2 linked regions of the Schizosaccharomyces pombe genome follow. Changing the gene in region 1 together with any one later gene gives a genetic interaction. Each region holds a gene or a part of one and is shown in the gene's direction. Other genes may lie near its edges.

Region 1 (8,371 bases):
GCCTTCATCAACACTCCTCGTAAGGAAGGTGGCCTTGGTGGCATTAACATTCCCCTTTTGGCCGACCCTAGCCATAAGGTTTCCCGTGACTATGGTGTCTTGATCGAGGATGCCGGTGTTGCTTTCCGTGGTCTTTTCTTGATCGACCCCAAGGGTGTTTTGCGTCAAATCACCATCAATGATCTCCCCGTTGGCCGTTCTGTCGACGAGGCTCTCCGTCTTCTCGATGCCTTCCAATTCGTTGAGGAGCACGGTGAGGTTTGCCCTGCCAACTGGCACAAGGGTTCCGATACCATTGACACCAAAAACCCCGAGAAGTACTTTTCCAAGCACTAGATCAATTTTCTGAGCAAGTGTAGTCAACGAGAGTCAAACACGATTTGTCTCGTATCTTTTTAGATTAGTTTATGAATCTCCTTTTTTGCCTATATTCTCAAAGTTTGAGGTAGTAACTGTGTGTGTATCATACTATACCATCGTAATGTCTCGTGAGGCAAGGGTGGATTGCGTAAATTAGCAGAGTGCGGATCTGCTAAAAGGAAATTATTTAATTGGGACGTCTGCTAATGTGCTTATTTTTCTCATTAATTAATGATATTTTCAGAAACGACTTTTTTAATGCATCGTATACATTTGTTTAAAGCTACAAATGTGTGGGATGCTGCTCGTAAGTTATATAACTATTTATAATTATAAATACTGTATAAAGTTATTTGAAGTCAACTTTAAGTATATGGATGAACTGGTTATAATGATTTGAGTGATTACATTGTGTTTTATTGAACTCGTTTGTATTATTATGCCTTTTGACAACATGACGACAATTCAAAACAAAAGAAAAAGGCAACCTATGTTTTAGTTTATACCAAGAAAATGGAACCTAAAAAAATTAAATCCTCTCATTGTTTTGCTTTGCGTCTATCGTTTTGTAACGCACCGACACGCACTGACATACCAAGTGACTTGCTACCTCAGATTATCTGGGGTAGACTTCGGTGGTTAAAAGAAGGTTAGTCCGTGGATTTCACTCCCTTCACCCGCATCTTCCTTATCAGGCCCAAAGGGAGTTAAACGAGTTACGCTCGTTGCGATAACATGTAAGCTACGCAGTTTGGTATCTGATTTAAGGATACGTAGAACTGCGGTGAGTTTTCCTTGTGGTCTATTATATTACAATACACAGGTTGTATAAGTAGCAACTGAGTATAGGTATTGTATTAACTGGGTTATAATGTTACCTATCACTAATATAGCTCATAACTGAACTGAGGAACGAGGTTCAGTTGTAACGCTATTTATAATATTTCTAAATACTTGTATCAACGGGTATCTATGTATATAGAAGGATAGTTACCCGTGATTATCAATAAACGGATCTTAGCTAGTATTCCAACATATGACATATAGTGATACGCAACGTAGTGTAGCATAGCGTAGTGTAGTATTGCTGACATAACGAGAATTTTCGAGATATAAAGAAGAATAGGTTTTCAGTTCATTCAAGTCAATATAAATGGATAGAGATACATAAAATAGAAATTTTAATTGTAGTCGCATTTTATTTTTTATTATTAGTAAAATAATATTTTACTTTGCCTCGTACCATATAGCTCATTCACAGCCTTCCAATGTTTCTAAACTGAAGAAGACTGGAAAAAGGCGAATGTAAAGAAATACAACAGTATAAACGAGATTGACTGCTTCCCAAAATGATTTTTTAAAAGGATGTTTGTAAATCTGCTTGTATCCAACACACTGGGCATACAGTGAAAAGTTATTCTTATGAAACCAATGTGTCAATACGCTTTGTAAACAATGACAGAAAAGAATGTATCAAGAGGTAATGGTTGTAATTATCACGTTATAGATAGGTATGTAATTATTGATATAAATCAAGAGAAAATGTATACGTATCCAGGAATATCAACCTTTGTCGTACACATTATTATGTGTGTGTATGTGATATAGCAGCATCAAACTGGTTTGCTAGATCTAAAAACATATGGACATCTCTTTATGGATACGTATAGATGCCAAACTTTGATGTATGAAGATTTTGACGAGCTAGGCCAGCAAGTAACTCAACAGCCGCATGTACACCATCAATGATGGGAATATTGGGACCTACGGCAACCTGAATCTGATCACGAATAGCTGCTAAAGCAGCACCACCTAAACAAATGACATCTGCACCCTTTGTGTTTGCCAGTTCTTGGGCCTTTTGGACAAGAAGGGTTTCACGCTCTTGTGAAGGCATTTGCGAAAGTTGCAAAACTGTGCGACCTGTAGAAGCAATGGCGGCCACTCGAGTGCGCGAAACACCAAAAGAATCGAGTAATTCGTAAAGCAAACATTCGGAACGATATGTACTTGTAAGGATGCCGATGCGCTGACCAACCGATAAGGCACTGAGGACAGACGCTTGCACAATGCCCATGCAGGGTAAAGCAAATGACTCACGAATCATGTCGACTAGAGGAGTGGGGGAATAACAGGCAACAGCTATAGCATCGACACCATCCAAGACACTAGGAGTTAGGGCTTGGAAGACTAGAGCAGCTGTCAAGGTTGCCTCTGTGATGGAGTCGATGACAGCAGCACCGGGTTGAGGACAAGTTAGAAAGCGCAACTTTACATCTGAAGGCACTAGGGGAACGAGTTTTTCTTCCATGGATGTTGTGATGAAGGTGGAAGAGTTTGGATTGATGACGAGAATGGTAGGCATGATGAGAGAAAATAGAAAGGTAAGAGACGAAGAGAAAGAAGGTAGAGAAGAGAAAGCGAAGAGAAAATAGTAAGAAAAAGAGCAAGCAAAGGGGAAATAGTAGAAAAAAAAAAAGTAAAAGAGAATGTTGAAGCTGAATTTACAGAGACACAAAAAATAATACAGTTTATTGGAAAATAAACCTTTTTTCTAAACTGTTTGTCAAAAACTAAAATTGAAAAACCAGTGTCACAATTTATTATAAAGTGTAGAAAATCGAGTTTCCAACAAAATGGCTTGAAAAACGAAAAATATTTTTAACAAGTAATGACTAAAATAGATTTGATCGTTTGTTTGGTTTTTGCTTATTTACTCTTAGTAGACTAGACTCGACTAGACAATCTATTTCAAGGTTGATGACTAAAAATGCTGTTTCAAGCTGCTGTAGACTGCAATTGAAATTGTCTACAGAATTGATAAGACGCAAATCAAGTGTAAGGGGTTGTTTGAGTAAACTTGGAAACTCCGTTTCCAAGTTGTTCAATGTGCACTCTGATAATGAACACAGTCGGACCCGAAGAGGAGATGAGACTGATGACTAGTAAACAGCGTCAGTGAGTAGCAGCAACGATGGTACTGATAGTATAGGTGATTGAAAAGTTTGTAGGACAATGTTGGATTGCTATGCTATACTTGAGCTGCCTTTGGAATGTTGGTCAAGCAAAGCACAAGCACCACTAACCACCAGACTTACTACTAGCGCTGTTAGGATTATGTAATTGAAATATTCTCATTTACCTGCAAAACGTTAAATCTTCTATATGCACTATCTCCCACTTTACTCTTTTACCGATTCTTTCCCACTCGTTCTACACTTGCAAACTCGAGTCCGAAGCCCGTTCCAACTCGCACCCTGTCCCACTAAAAATCGCACTCCAGAACATCGGTGCTTAGTCTTCTGGTCAAGAAATTTCCGCCGATTGTCTTAATGAATTCCCCTCAAACCTCAATTTAAGTCATCACCTAGACGGACGGGTGCGACTTGGGTATTCCCCCTATCGATGCCTACTTCTTCCAATGACCTTTACCAAACAAGACTTGATGTGCAGACGCCAAATCGATGGTTTCTTTACATTTCATTAGAATTGTTTAACAACATGTATTCTCCGTTTCGTAGCAGCTCAGTCTTACTCAGTGGTGCTCAGTCCGATATACCGAAGGTTGGCAAATGCTTGTTTTTGCCATGCCGCTCACTCGAATTTAGAGCATCGGCAAACTCACTTAGCGTACATTTCCTACTCAATGTAATTTCAGCAATCTTATCTATGTTGATAGAGAGGTATGCGGTAGAAGTGATAATGAGCAAAATTACATGGCCCAGGAGTAATGAGGATTGGAGGTTCCATGGTATAAAAGGTTGATGTGAATACCATGTTGTCTCATCAAATCAAAAGAAAAACTCACTGAAGAGAATCACACTGACCATTGTTCGTCTTGTGCTTCTGCTACAATTGATTTGAATTGAAGTTCATAATAATACCTGGGTGATACAACATCTACGTAAAGTCTTCAATTACTGCTACTCTCCGTAAAAACAACTAAATATTCGTAACTTTTCTCGCTGTCCCAGCTTGTTTACTTGCTCCGATAGCATTGTGCATTATTGACTTGTGTAAATTTCCTTTCAAATCTTAGTTTAATTTCGTTTTGAACAGCCAATACCCATCGTGTGTTGCTATAATCCATTGTTATAGATTTTCGAAAAGAAACAAACATTCGAAAACCACTCTACGCCATTGTTATCAATAAACGAAACGATTGTTGTGAATTTTCGACTTTTGCTCCTCTACTTGTCCAAAGTTGAACTCTACTAGTTTAAACGTTTTTAAGGTTATCAAGAATACCTTTTTTCTCATATTTTTTTTTCAATCCTCCTTTATTACTCGTTTCGTAAGAGAACCCATCTTGTTTCTTACCAACTTTTCTTTAAATTCTTCGTTCAATCATGTCTGCCACTGCTACTACTACGGTTGTGGAACCTCCTACCACCACTTTGACTGGTGCTACCGAGCCACCATTTACTGCTTATACCACTTCTCAAGGTCTTCGTGTTTCCCCTGTTCCATTGCCGGAACACAATACTGATGTTGGATTTGGTGCTTTGATCGAAAATGTTGACTTGAATAACCTCTCGGATGAACAATTCGAAGATATCCGTAAGGCTCTTTTCGAACATCAAGTGGTTTGTTTCCCCAATCAACACAATTTACCCCCAGAGACTCAGTACGCTATCACCCATCGCTTTGATCCCGAGTCTTCTACCTATGGTCACGGCAATCGTACAAATCAGCAAAACAACAGCATCTTACATCCCGATTTGCACACCCTTCCCGGTGTTCCTCAAGTACAACTCATTGGTCATGGTGTTGTGAAGGATCATTACGGTCTTGAAGAGGTCCGACTTAAACATCCTCATCATCGAACTTTCCATCGTGATCCCATTTCTGAGGAGGAAGAAAAAGAAAAACAAGTCACCCGTTTTTATCGTTGGCATATCGATGCTGCCCTTTATGACTATAACCCTCCTGTAGTCACTACCCTTCTCGCCGTTAATGCTCCACAAGGCACCCAAACTCTTCGATATGATGATAAGTCTGGCCATGAGATGCCTGTTCCATTAGGTTCGACAGCTTTCGCCTCAGGCTATCGCATGTACGAATTGCTCACTGACGAGGAAAAGAAGGTGGCTGCTCGTACTCGCGTTCAATATTTCCCTCATGCCTACGTTACAATCAATAAAGCTAGAGCCCTTCCCAATGGTTTGGGTATGTATTCTGAGGGACTTGAGCTTGACAAGTCTGAATTACCTCCTTGGGAGGAGAGCAGGGTTAAAACATTCCCTCTTCTTTGGAAAAATCCTGTAACCGGAAAGCTTGCCTTGCAGACTCACGGATGCTGTGCTGAGAAAATCCTAATCGACAACGAAGATGGCACCACCACTGTGATCGATGATCTTCCTAAAGTTCGTGAAATCTTGTATAATTATCAACGCCCTGGCATCAACCCTGAACGTGTTTATTGTCACGATTGGAAAAATGGTGACTTTGTTATTTTCCATAACCGCGGTGTTACTCATTGTATCACTGGTGCTTACAGAGATGATCAGACTCGTATTTTCCACCAATGCAACCTTGCTGCCTCTCATCCTCCTGCCGGGCCTTCTGAAGAAGACATTGCTGCCATGTAAAGTCCTATTGAGCTCAACTTTCGTCCCCCCTCCCCTTTCTTGTTAATATGCAATTTTTATTTCTTTAATTCTTTTTCATTTTCCTTTTAGTATTATGTATAGCTTAGCTTCTAATGATTTTTTTTATTAATTGCAAAATGTCAATAGTTTTCATCAATTTCTTTTCAGTAAGTGTTAGTGCATAGTTTTACAAAAAATATATTGTTTTTGTTACTGTTTCTATTATTCTATAATTTTAGTCCAGTTTATAATAAACAACTTTTGATCCATTCGACTAACAGACAACTTATAAAATAACTTTTTGTGAATCTTCAAGCTATGTTTTCTAGTCTTATCATACAATATTCCTTTAATAAAACGGCAAGCGAAACTACCAAATTGCGTGTGCGAAAGTAGAATTAAGATAAAAAATCATCAGTATTTGTACCCTTTAAATGTTTTATTAAATGTCTATTTCAGATCAACTATCTATTAAAAATAACAAAAAAAGAGTGTATGCATCCTAAATAATCGCATCGCGCTTGAGATGGGAAAAAACGAGAGCTCGTAAAATAATCGTTCCAACGTAATAAAGAATAAAACAAAAATGACAACTAAAAATACAGTATTCATTTCTCTTTTTCCTTTAAAGAGGATAAACAAAGTTTAAGTTTTCCATGTCAGTTAAATCCAACATAGAATTATCAATCAGTACTTTGACGGGATTGCCGAATTCATCCACTGTGTCAACATAAGTCTTTTCTATGGTTTCCAGACTGCCTTCCGCAATTTTCTTATCTTTCAATTCCTTTCTCTGCTTATTGCGTCTTGCCAAAATCACTCGTGCTACCAGGTAAATTATGGGTGTGACAAACCATGCAACTACGATTTGCACAATCCACGCCGGATAATATCTAGGTGCATCACGGCTTTGCCATAGCTGAGGTGAAATGATGTTGGCAATGGCATATCCAACCATAAACATCAAACCACGAGTCAGTTTTTTCGTATAGCCAGTGGATGTAGCAGTGGTCCATCCTAAAGCAATGATGTATGTGATACCAAAATCGGATGCAATAATCATAGTAGCCAACTCTCCAATTCTGTTGGACCAAGGCAGGGCTACGAAAGCAATACCTCCAGTAATACTGGGCAGCATCCAAAACATAGCATGGTATGCACTTTGATTTGGAATAAGATACATGGCAAAAGTAGCAATAATAGCGCTCACAGTATTATATCCAGCAAGAGCAACGCCAACTAAAGTAGAATTGAGGTCTGAGACGTTTAAACTTGTAAAAATAAGATTTTGTTGATAAGCCAAGTTGTTAGAGAGCATGAGTGTGAAGGCGGCAAAAGTAAATAGCCAAGTAATTGGATCTTTCAGCGCTTCTATAAATTGGTGCTTCTTGAAAATCTTGTTTTCAATTCCACCCCTAGTGGACTTGCGTACACGATCAATGGTATACAATTTTTCCTCGTCAGTTAAAAATCTGGCCTTTGATGGATTGTCTGGATAGTAGAAGAAAAGGAAAATACTTAAGAAGAATGTAATACCACCGGTAATGATCATAAAGAGCTTCCAGGGTGCAATGCTTTTCGTGACAAACTCAAGGCCATAGGCAATAAAACCAGCAGGAATACCGCAGCTTAGACATGAGATCCAAAATACAGGCTGCAGAAATGCCTGTTCTTGATGAGTAAAAAACATGCCCATAGTAGCCTCCATAGCTGGTAGTAAGCAAGACTCAGTAAAGCCAAGGAAAAATCGAAGGGCAATAAGACCTCCGTAATTATAGGCGCAACAATGCAAAAAAACGATTACACTCCAAGAAAAGGTGACAAGGCCGACAAATTTTCCAAGAGGAAAAGTTTGCATGATGTAGTGACCGGGAAATTGACCTACGATATAGCCGACATAAAACAGAGTATTCAAATTATTGTATTGATTGGAGGTGATGTGTACATCATCAAAAAGACCCAGAATAGTTGAATAGCTAAGTGTCGCCTTACCAATGAAAAGCATCATATCCAAAAAACCCAACATTAGCAACAAATAAATGTACAGTTTCCACTTAAGTTTACTCTCTTGTTTAGGGGTCAAGGGATCCAACTTCTTGGCATCTTGCATAAAAGCAAAAGTTTCATCGATCAAAGAATTGTTTATTTTTTTCCCACCAGCTTTTTCCACGTCGGCGATATCCTCATCAGAGTCAAAGGGTTTAGCAATTGTAGTATCAACGGCATTTTCCTTTTTCTCCAAATCAAGAGAACTCGAGTCGGTGGAGCCCTGTCTTATTTCGTAACCCTCTTTCGAGGAAATCGATGCAGTACGAGATGAGATGATAGACTCGGTCATTTCAGCAAACGAATTGAAATGTATAAAATAAGAAAATCAAATAATTCTCAATAAAAAAAAATGAAACTGATTTATTTCACAG
Region 2 (6,270 bases), on another chromosome or scaffold:
ATTTGAAAATTTAGCACAACAGTATTTTACCGATGGTGTAGAGATGCGCAGTGTTCGTAAATCCTCTGATTTACGTCGCAGCTTGAGTGCAGCCAGCCTTTCTAGTCTTTCAGATAGCTCTAGAAGAAGTTCATCAGCGGCGAATCCTTTTCAGAGCATGAGCATCACGGAATTTGCAGAAATGTTGACGAATATATATTTTTCATCATTGGAATGTCTGCGTCGCATTCGCAGCCAAATAAAAGTTTTAATAGATATTTTATCGAAAAAAGATACTAAACAATATCACCTATCTGTGATTCTTAATGATTTAATGGCCACGAGTTCCGATGTTGTTACACAACAAGTGACAACTATTAATAATCTTCGATTTCGAGTCTTGGATACTTATCCTCCTAATAATGTTATATACCTTTTTTCTTTACACATAATTTTTCATAATGAGCTTGAAAGTCTTTGCGGAATCACACAAAGCTCATTTATTCCAACTATAATGAGGCAATTACTGGACTGGTTTAAAAATTTTCAACGATATTCTACTCAGAAATTGGCATCAAGCTTTGAAAGGGAGCTATGGGAAGCGATACCTGTTGAACCATCCTGTCAAGATCTAGCTAATCGCGTGTTTGAATGCTCCGGTAATACTCCCGTAGAATGGACGCGACTATTATCTCCTGAAGCAGAAAAAGAAGATGAAAATCATAGGGTTCACCATGTAAAAGTTTCAGAGGACTGTACTGCTACGGTTTCGTTTGGAAAACAATCATTACATATTGTTCGGTCCTCTGTTACGTTGTTAGAAACATTGGATGATTATGGTAAACTTCTTGCTCACTTTTCAAGATTGGCTCCAGAGTTTCAGACTGGTATGCTAGATATGTTTCGTACACTCAATTCTCGGGTTTATCAATTAATATTGGGAGCGGGGACAGTGCGGTCGTCTGGCCTTAGTAAAGTACTTGGGAAGCATATTGCACTTGCCTCTCAAACTATCGCATTGTTTCAATTATCCCTTAATTCAATGTGCAGGTACTTGTCAAGAGTAACAGGAACTCGACTCACCAATGAAACTAATAAGTTGGATCAAGATTTCACCGTTCATCACTTACAAATTCATGATAAGTTTGTTAGTCTCATGAGGGAACGAGTTGCTATCAGTTGTTCCCAGATTGCTTCTCTTTCGTGGGATATTGACAGTCCTCATGGATACATTATTGATCTTTCAAAAAGTCTTATAAAGCTCTACAAAGTTTTACATCGCTACTCACAACGTGACTGTGTAGAAGTAATACCAGATGTAATTCGGATGTTCGAAGATAGACTGCAGTTGGAACTTACGGATATTGCAAGAAATCCATCCAAATGGCCAGGCGTTCGTATTGATTTGTCCTATTTTTATGACATGATGGCATCTAAATGCGGATATGCAGGAGACCGGACTTTATTGGAAAAATTTGAACGTACTCCGGAACAGCAGGAAGCGGCTTAAACATTTGTTTCGTCGTTTTTTGTAATCTATTTTAGTTCTTTTCTTGACAGGTATTTTGGTTATCTGCTTTTGTGCTCGAGTTACCGTCATATTCTTTGGAATTTTACATTTTGGTTTAACAATTTACTAACCTGAATGAATTCTAAGAATCCAAAAATTTTGTTGCAAGTTATGAACCAAGCAGCTTCTCTATAAAATTCTCCATTCTATCGATAGTTCTAGTATTCACAATGACGAATACAAATTCACTTATGACTACTAATCGGCCAGTTTTGATTTAGAGTATTACTCATTTAATTCGGAAATCTCATGGGAGCGTAATGTTTTCGACCGATTTAATTTCTTTTCATCTTCTCTCATTTATTATTGTTTTTATCACCTTTATTCAATTCCTTATGAAAATACTCATAATTGATTTAAGTGTATCAGTCAAATTCCTTGCTATATTGAGTAACTTGTTACTTTGGTAGTAATAGATTAGATATATTGGCTTGCACCTAAAGCCTGAAGTAACCTTTTCAATCTTTTGGTACAATGAAATTAGGCAGATTTTTAGAAAACGGAAGGGAGCAAATACGAAATCTCCTCTTAAATGCTTCGACTGTATCGTCTGCCCCGTCTTTTAGCTTTGTTAGTGGAAATGAATCAGCAGGTACATTAGTCGTAATAGACGAGAATTAACAATTCGTCTTAGATCTTGACAGTTGCGCTAGTTCAATCGTATATGCGTATTGCCTGCAAAGAAAACAGCTGGGTAGGATTGTAGTACCTTTTTTTAACATTCCTCGAAAGGAGCTACGTCTTAGGCCTGAACTGTCTTATTTGTTGAACTTAGCATCAATATCTTCCGATGATATTGTCTTTTTAGATGATATTGTAAAATTACCAAAAAGAATATTCAGTAATCCTATTTATTTAGTTGATCACAATTCTTTGGACCGTAAAGACCTAGAAAATTTCAACGGCAGTATCGCTGGTATTATAGATCACCACAAAGATGAAGGGGGATCCTTACATGCTGATCCAAGAATCATTGAGGAATGCGGTAGCTGCTGTACTTTAGTTTGCCGATATTTTATGCCTGTCATTAGATCTCTATATGATTCCAAAGTATCTGAACTTCACCAAACAGCAACCAACCTTGCTGTTTTGGCACTTGGCCCTATTTTAATTGATACTGGAAATTTAAAAAATGAAAAGACTACTGATACCGATGTTAAAATAGTAAATGACTTATGCTCATTTGTGCCAAAAGATTGGGTTCGAGATGAGTTTTTTGATACTCTGAAAGAGAAAAAGAAGAGCTGTAAGGGTTTTTCTTTTGATGATCTACTACGCAGGGATTTAAAACAGTATTTTCCGGACGGAATAGTCGTCAATTATGCCAGTGTTGGAAAGGGATTAGATTGGATCAAGAAAAAACGTCTCGGATGGGAAGATGAATTGAAAAGTTTTGCCGAAGTGCAAAATTCTGATTTGGTAATTGTTGGGTTATCTCTGAGTAAGAACGACGAGTTTGGTCGTCAATTGATTTTATACAAGCGTACTGAAAGGGGAGCTGGTCTTGCCGATTCTTTCTTAAAACTTAGCAAACAAAATTTAGGATTAGAAATTATTGAAGAGAAAGATAATGGCGACCTCAGTATGTGGAATCAAAGAAATTCCGCTGCTAGCAGAAAGAAAGTAGTTCCCTTACTTATGGACTCAGTTAAACAAGTCGCTTCAAAATAGTTACTGCTTTAGACTCCATTGTGATTTCTGTTCTGTACATTTTACGATAGCTACACTCATCAGTAGGCTTATGATAGATTTTAAATTTTTTTAAAAGGATATATATTATACATCACATTGATCTAAATTTCTTACTTTGTAATCCCAAGATCCTTTTATTCAAAAAAATCACTGTCATCTGATTGATTATTTTGTAGTTCATCGTGGTAAATAGACTTGTTTGAAGAACTCTCTTCTTTTAATCGGTCGATTGCTGAACTCTTGAGCAACCGAAATTCTAGGAGTGAAGTTTCAAAATCATCTTTATTACCTAAATCAGCAAATCCGATAATCTTATCCACGAGCTGAGAATTTACGTAGCAAAGTACGGCTGGTAATACTTTGAGACCCAATTTGACTACCAAAAATGGAGCGTTGGCTGCTTCAATACGGATAAACTTAGTTTCCCAATGTACTTTGGCAATTTTCTGAGAATGTTAGCGTAAGCAATAAATGGAACTCCTCGTACCTCTAGATGAGAGTCTATAATTTTGCAACGTATAAAATCAGGGTGGTAAAAATGTATAACAACTTTTTTTGATGAACTAAAAAATAATTAGTTTAAAATAATCGAAGCTAATGTTTTGACATACAGCGTAAAATCCATAACTTCGCGCTCATTTTCTACAGTAAGAAACTGCATGTGTCCTTTTTCTTTTGCAGCTTCCACTCTAGCGAATCTGAACGGTTAAATTCTTAAAATCATTTTAAAGCTTTTTCTTACTCTTTTTTTAGCATCTCCAATCTCTGTTCTCGATAAGCAGTATCATCAAATTCATCCAACTGTGAAAAGAGCGCATCTTCCAATTCTGAATCACTTTCGGTTGCAGCTTGAGTAGCATACGTATCAGCGTAAAGATCAACTGTTGGGTCGTTACTAATGTCAACATTAGACATAATATGTACGCTACTGTAACCTACCTATTATGCAGTTCTGGTTCATTGTAATCCTGAGTATCCTCCTTTCTTTCAGTAACCTTCAAAGCTTCATACTCGTTGGCGATTTCCTTTTCCAAAGGAGATTTCATAGAAATCCAAGCAGGCTTGTTTTCTACAGGCTGAACGTTTGTCAAATCCATTTGATAACCACGTTTACGCGGCCCAAATCCATGGGATGCTGGAAAAGATGTCATATAAATTTCTTCAAATTTTCTAACATCTTCATCAAAGTTTCCCTCTTGTATGGAGGCGCGGATTCCTTGAAAAAAGGCAGTGAAGGCATAAACATTGTGTCTACAAATCGTTAGCTTTCTTTACCATGCTCTTTAATATAAACATACAGCTGTAAAAGTATCCAAGCAACTAGCTCTCTAGCCTGTAACAGATGCCTAACATAAGCGCGTTTGTATCTACGACATGTTTTGCAAACGCAGCCGGATTGCAATGGTTCCATGTCAGTAGCAAACCTTTCGTCCCACATATCCAAGCCAAGTTCAATTTTAGAATTCAACACATCTTTAGAAGGAGGCGGGAAAGAGAATGTAAGTGCAACACCAGCATCAGTAGCTTGTGTTATCATATCTGGAACAATAATGTCAATTCCTCTTTGAATGCATTTCAGAATTTCGAGTGGTGATTCAAATTTTTGAATACTCAGTCTTGGGAGACCAACCAAATCAGCTGGTAATGGATTGACATTGTTAGAAAATGCCAAGCCAGCAATGTTGTTAGCAAGTTGATTTTCTTGAAAAAACTGGAAAATAGGCGTAAGGTACTGAGTGTCCAGATCAGGAACAGGGAAAAATACTTTAGTAGTATTGAAAGCGTCCGTCGCTTTGAGTGCTAAAAGCAACTCAGTTGTCCAATTGACAGACCGTTCCACAATTTTTGGCTTCCTTTTGACACCAGGAGGACTAGTTGGGGTATCATTTAAAGGAATTACTAATTCAGGACAAAGCTTTAGGACAGCTTTAATATACAAGTCATTTGTCAGTTTCTTTGCACCACTTGCAGTAACGATATTAATATGACTTTGTCCTGCAGAAACAGATGGCAAAGGAGATGTTCTTCTTGGAGCAAGTAAAGTAGGTTGGACAGAGGGTGCTGCGATCCATTTTTTGATAGTTCCCTCATTAGTCAAGATTGGTGAGGCTTCCAGACGATCCAAGCTACAAACATATTAGTTAGAAATTCAAATTAAAAAAGATATGATAAAGCATTTGAGTCCTAAATTTAAACCTTACCAATCCTCCAACCCTACATAGAGAGCAGGAATATCGAATTCTTCAACATTGTCAGGTGTCAAATGAGGAACAGTTCCTCTGGAAGTAGGAAGGAAAAAGCAAGGAGTCTTCAGAACCTTGTTCTTCACCGTAACTGAAGATACGCGAGCCCCTGAAGGACTAGATAATGAAGAAATTGCCATCAATAAATCGCAAAATAAAGCTGCAAAAGTTTTGCTCTATTTACACATGTACGATATCAAAATAACGATGGTTCACTGTAGCACATTAAACGAATATTGCTATATGAATGTTTTTTAAATTTGAAAGATATTCAAACACAAAAGGTCGTCTAAACATTCGATTTATAATGTTGTAAAATAGCTTTGTTTGGATATCAGTAGTCTTACAAAACTGAAAGTTTTTAGTTAAGTAAAAAAAAAAATATCATTACATAAATTATAGTAAATTGTTTAGACTTTTTTTAAAGTTTTAAAGTAATAATAAAACATGCAAACAAGAAAGAAACAATGGAATAAAAACATTAATAACGGATAATTTTGCGACGGCGGAAGTCCTTTTCATCTGAAGCGATGTCATATAACGCTCTTCGTTTCATTTCTTTTTTCTCTTTTGTTCTTCGTTTCATTTGCTCCATCTCTTTCCTGGTATATCGCTTGTTTCTCCGTTCTGCCAGTAAACTTTGGCCATTGTGACTATTCAATGAAGAATTGATGTCAAAGTACTGTTCCATATGCTTATGTGCTTTGTTTTCTTCACTTCGCAACTCTGGTGAAGCCCATTTTGGCATAAACTTTCCAGATAGGCGATTGAACTGAACTTTCGCTG

The links.
Region 2: mutations in xan1 (region 1) and ppx1 together harm fitness more than expected from each alone (negative genetic interaction), as found in Schizosaccharomyces pombe (one large-scale study listed by BioGRID).

The regions. Positions count from the first base shown.
Region 1 is NC_003421.2:2,077,001-2,085,371, reverse strand, and holds xan1 (alpha-ketoglutarate-dependent xanthine dioxygenase Xan1), read left to right. Parts: upstream 1-4,709; coding exon 4,710-5,951; downstream 5,952-8,371. Other genes in the region: thioredoxin peroxidase Tpx1, read left to right, coding at 1-336; SPOM_SPCC576.02 (hydantoin racemase family protein), read right to left, coding at 2,015-2,725; SPOM_SPCC576.19C (uncharacterized protein), read left to right, coding at 3,766-4,125; SPOM_SPCPB1C11.03 (cysteine transporter), read right to left, coding at 6,577-8,289. UniProt on the Schizosaccharomyces pombe protein: Alpha-ketoglutarate-dependent xanthine dioxygenase is a non-heme mononuclear Fe(2+) enzyme that decarboxylates alpha-ketoglutarate to succinate and CO(2) while hydroxylating xanthine to generate uric acid. Allows xanthine utilization as a nitrogen source.
Region 2 is NC_003424.3:3,944,555-3,950,824, forward strand, and holds ppx1 (exopolyphosphatase), read left to right. Parts: upstream 1-2,000; 5' UTR 2,001-2,023; coding exon 2,024-2,141; exon of another isoform or gene 2,142-2,183; coding exon 2,184-3,220; 3' UTR 3,221-3,375; downstream 3,376-6,270. Other genes in the region: GARP complex subunit Vps54, read left to right, coding at 1-1,489; plp1 (thioredoxin domain-containing protein), read right to left, coding at 3,376-3,687, 3,729-3,804, 3,853-3,939, 3,984-4,136, 4,181-4,392; qtr2 (queuine tRNA-ribosyltransferase accessory subunit Qtrtd1/Qtr2), read right to left, coding at 4,503-5,367, 5,443-5,624; splicing-associated factor Saf2, read right to left, coding at 5,966-6,270.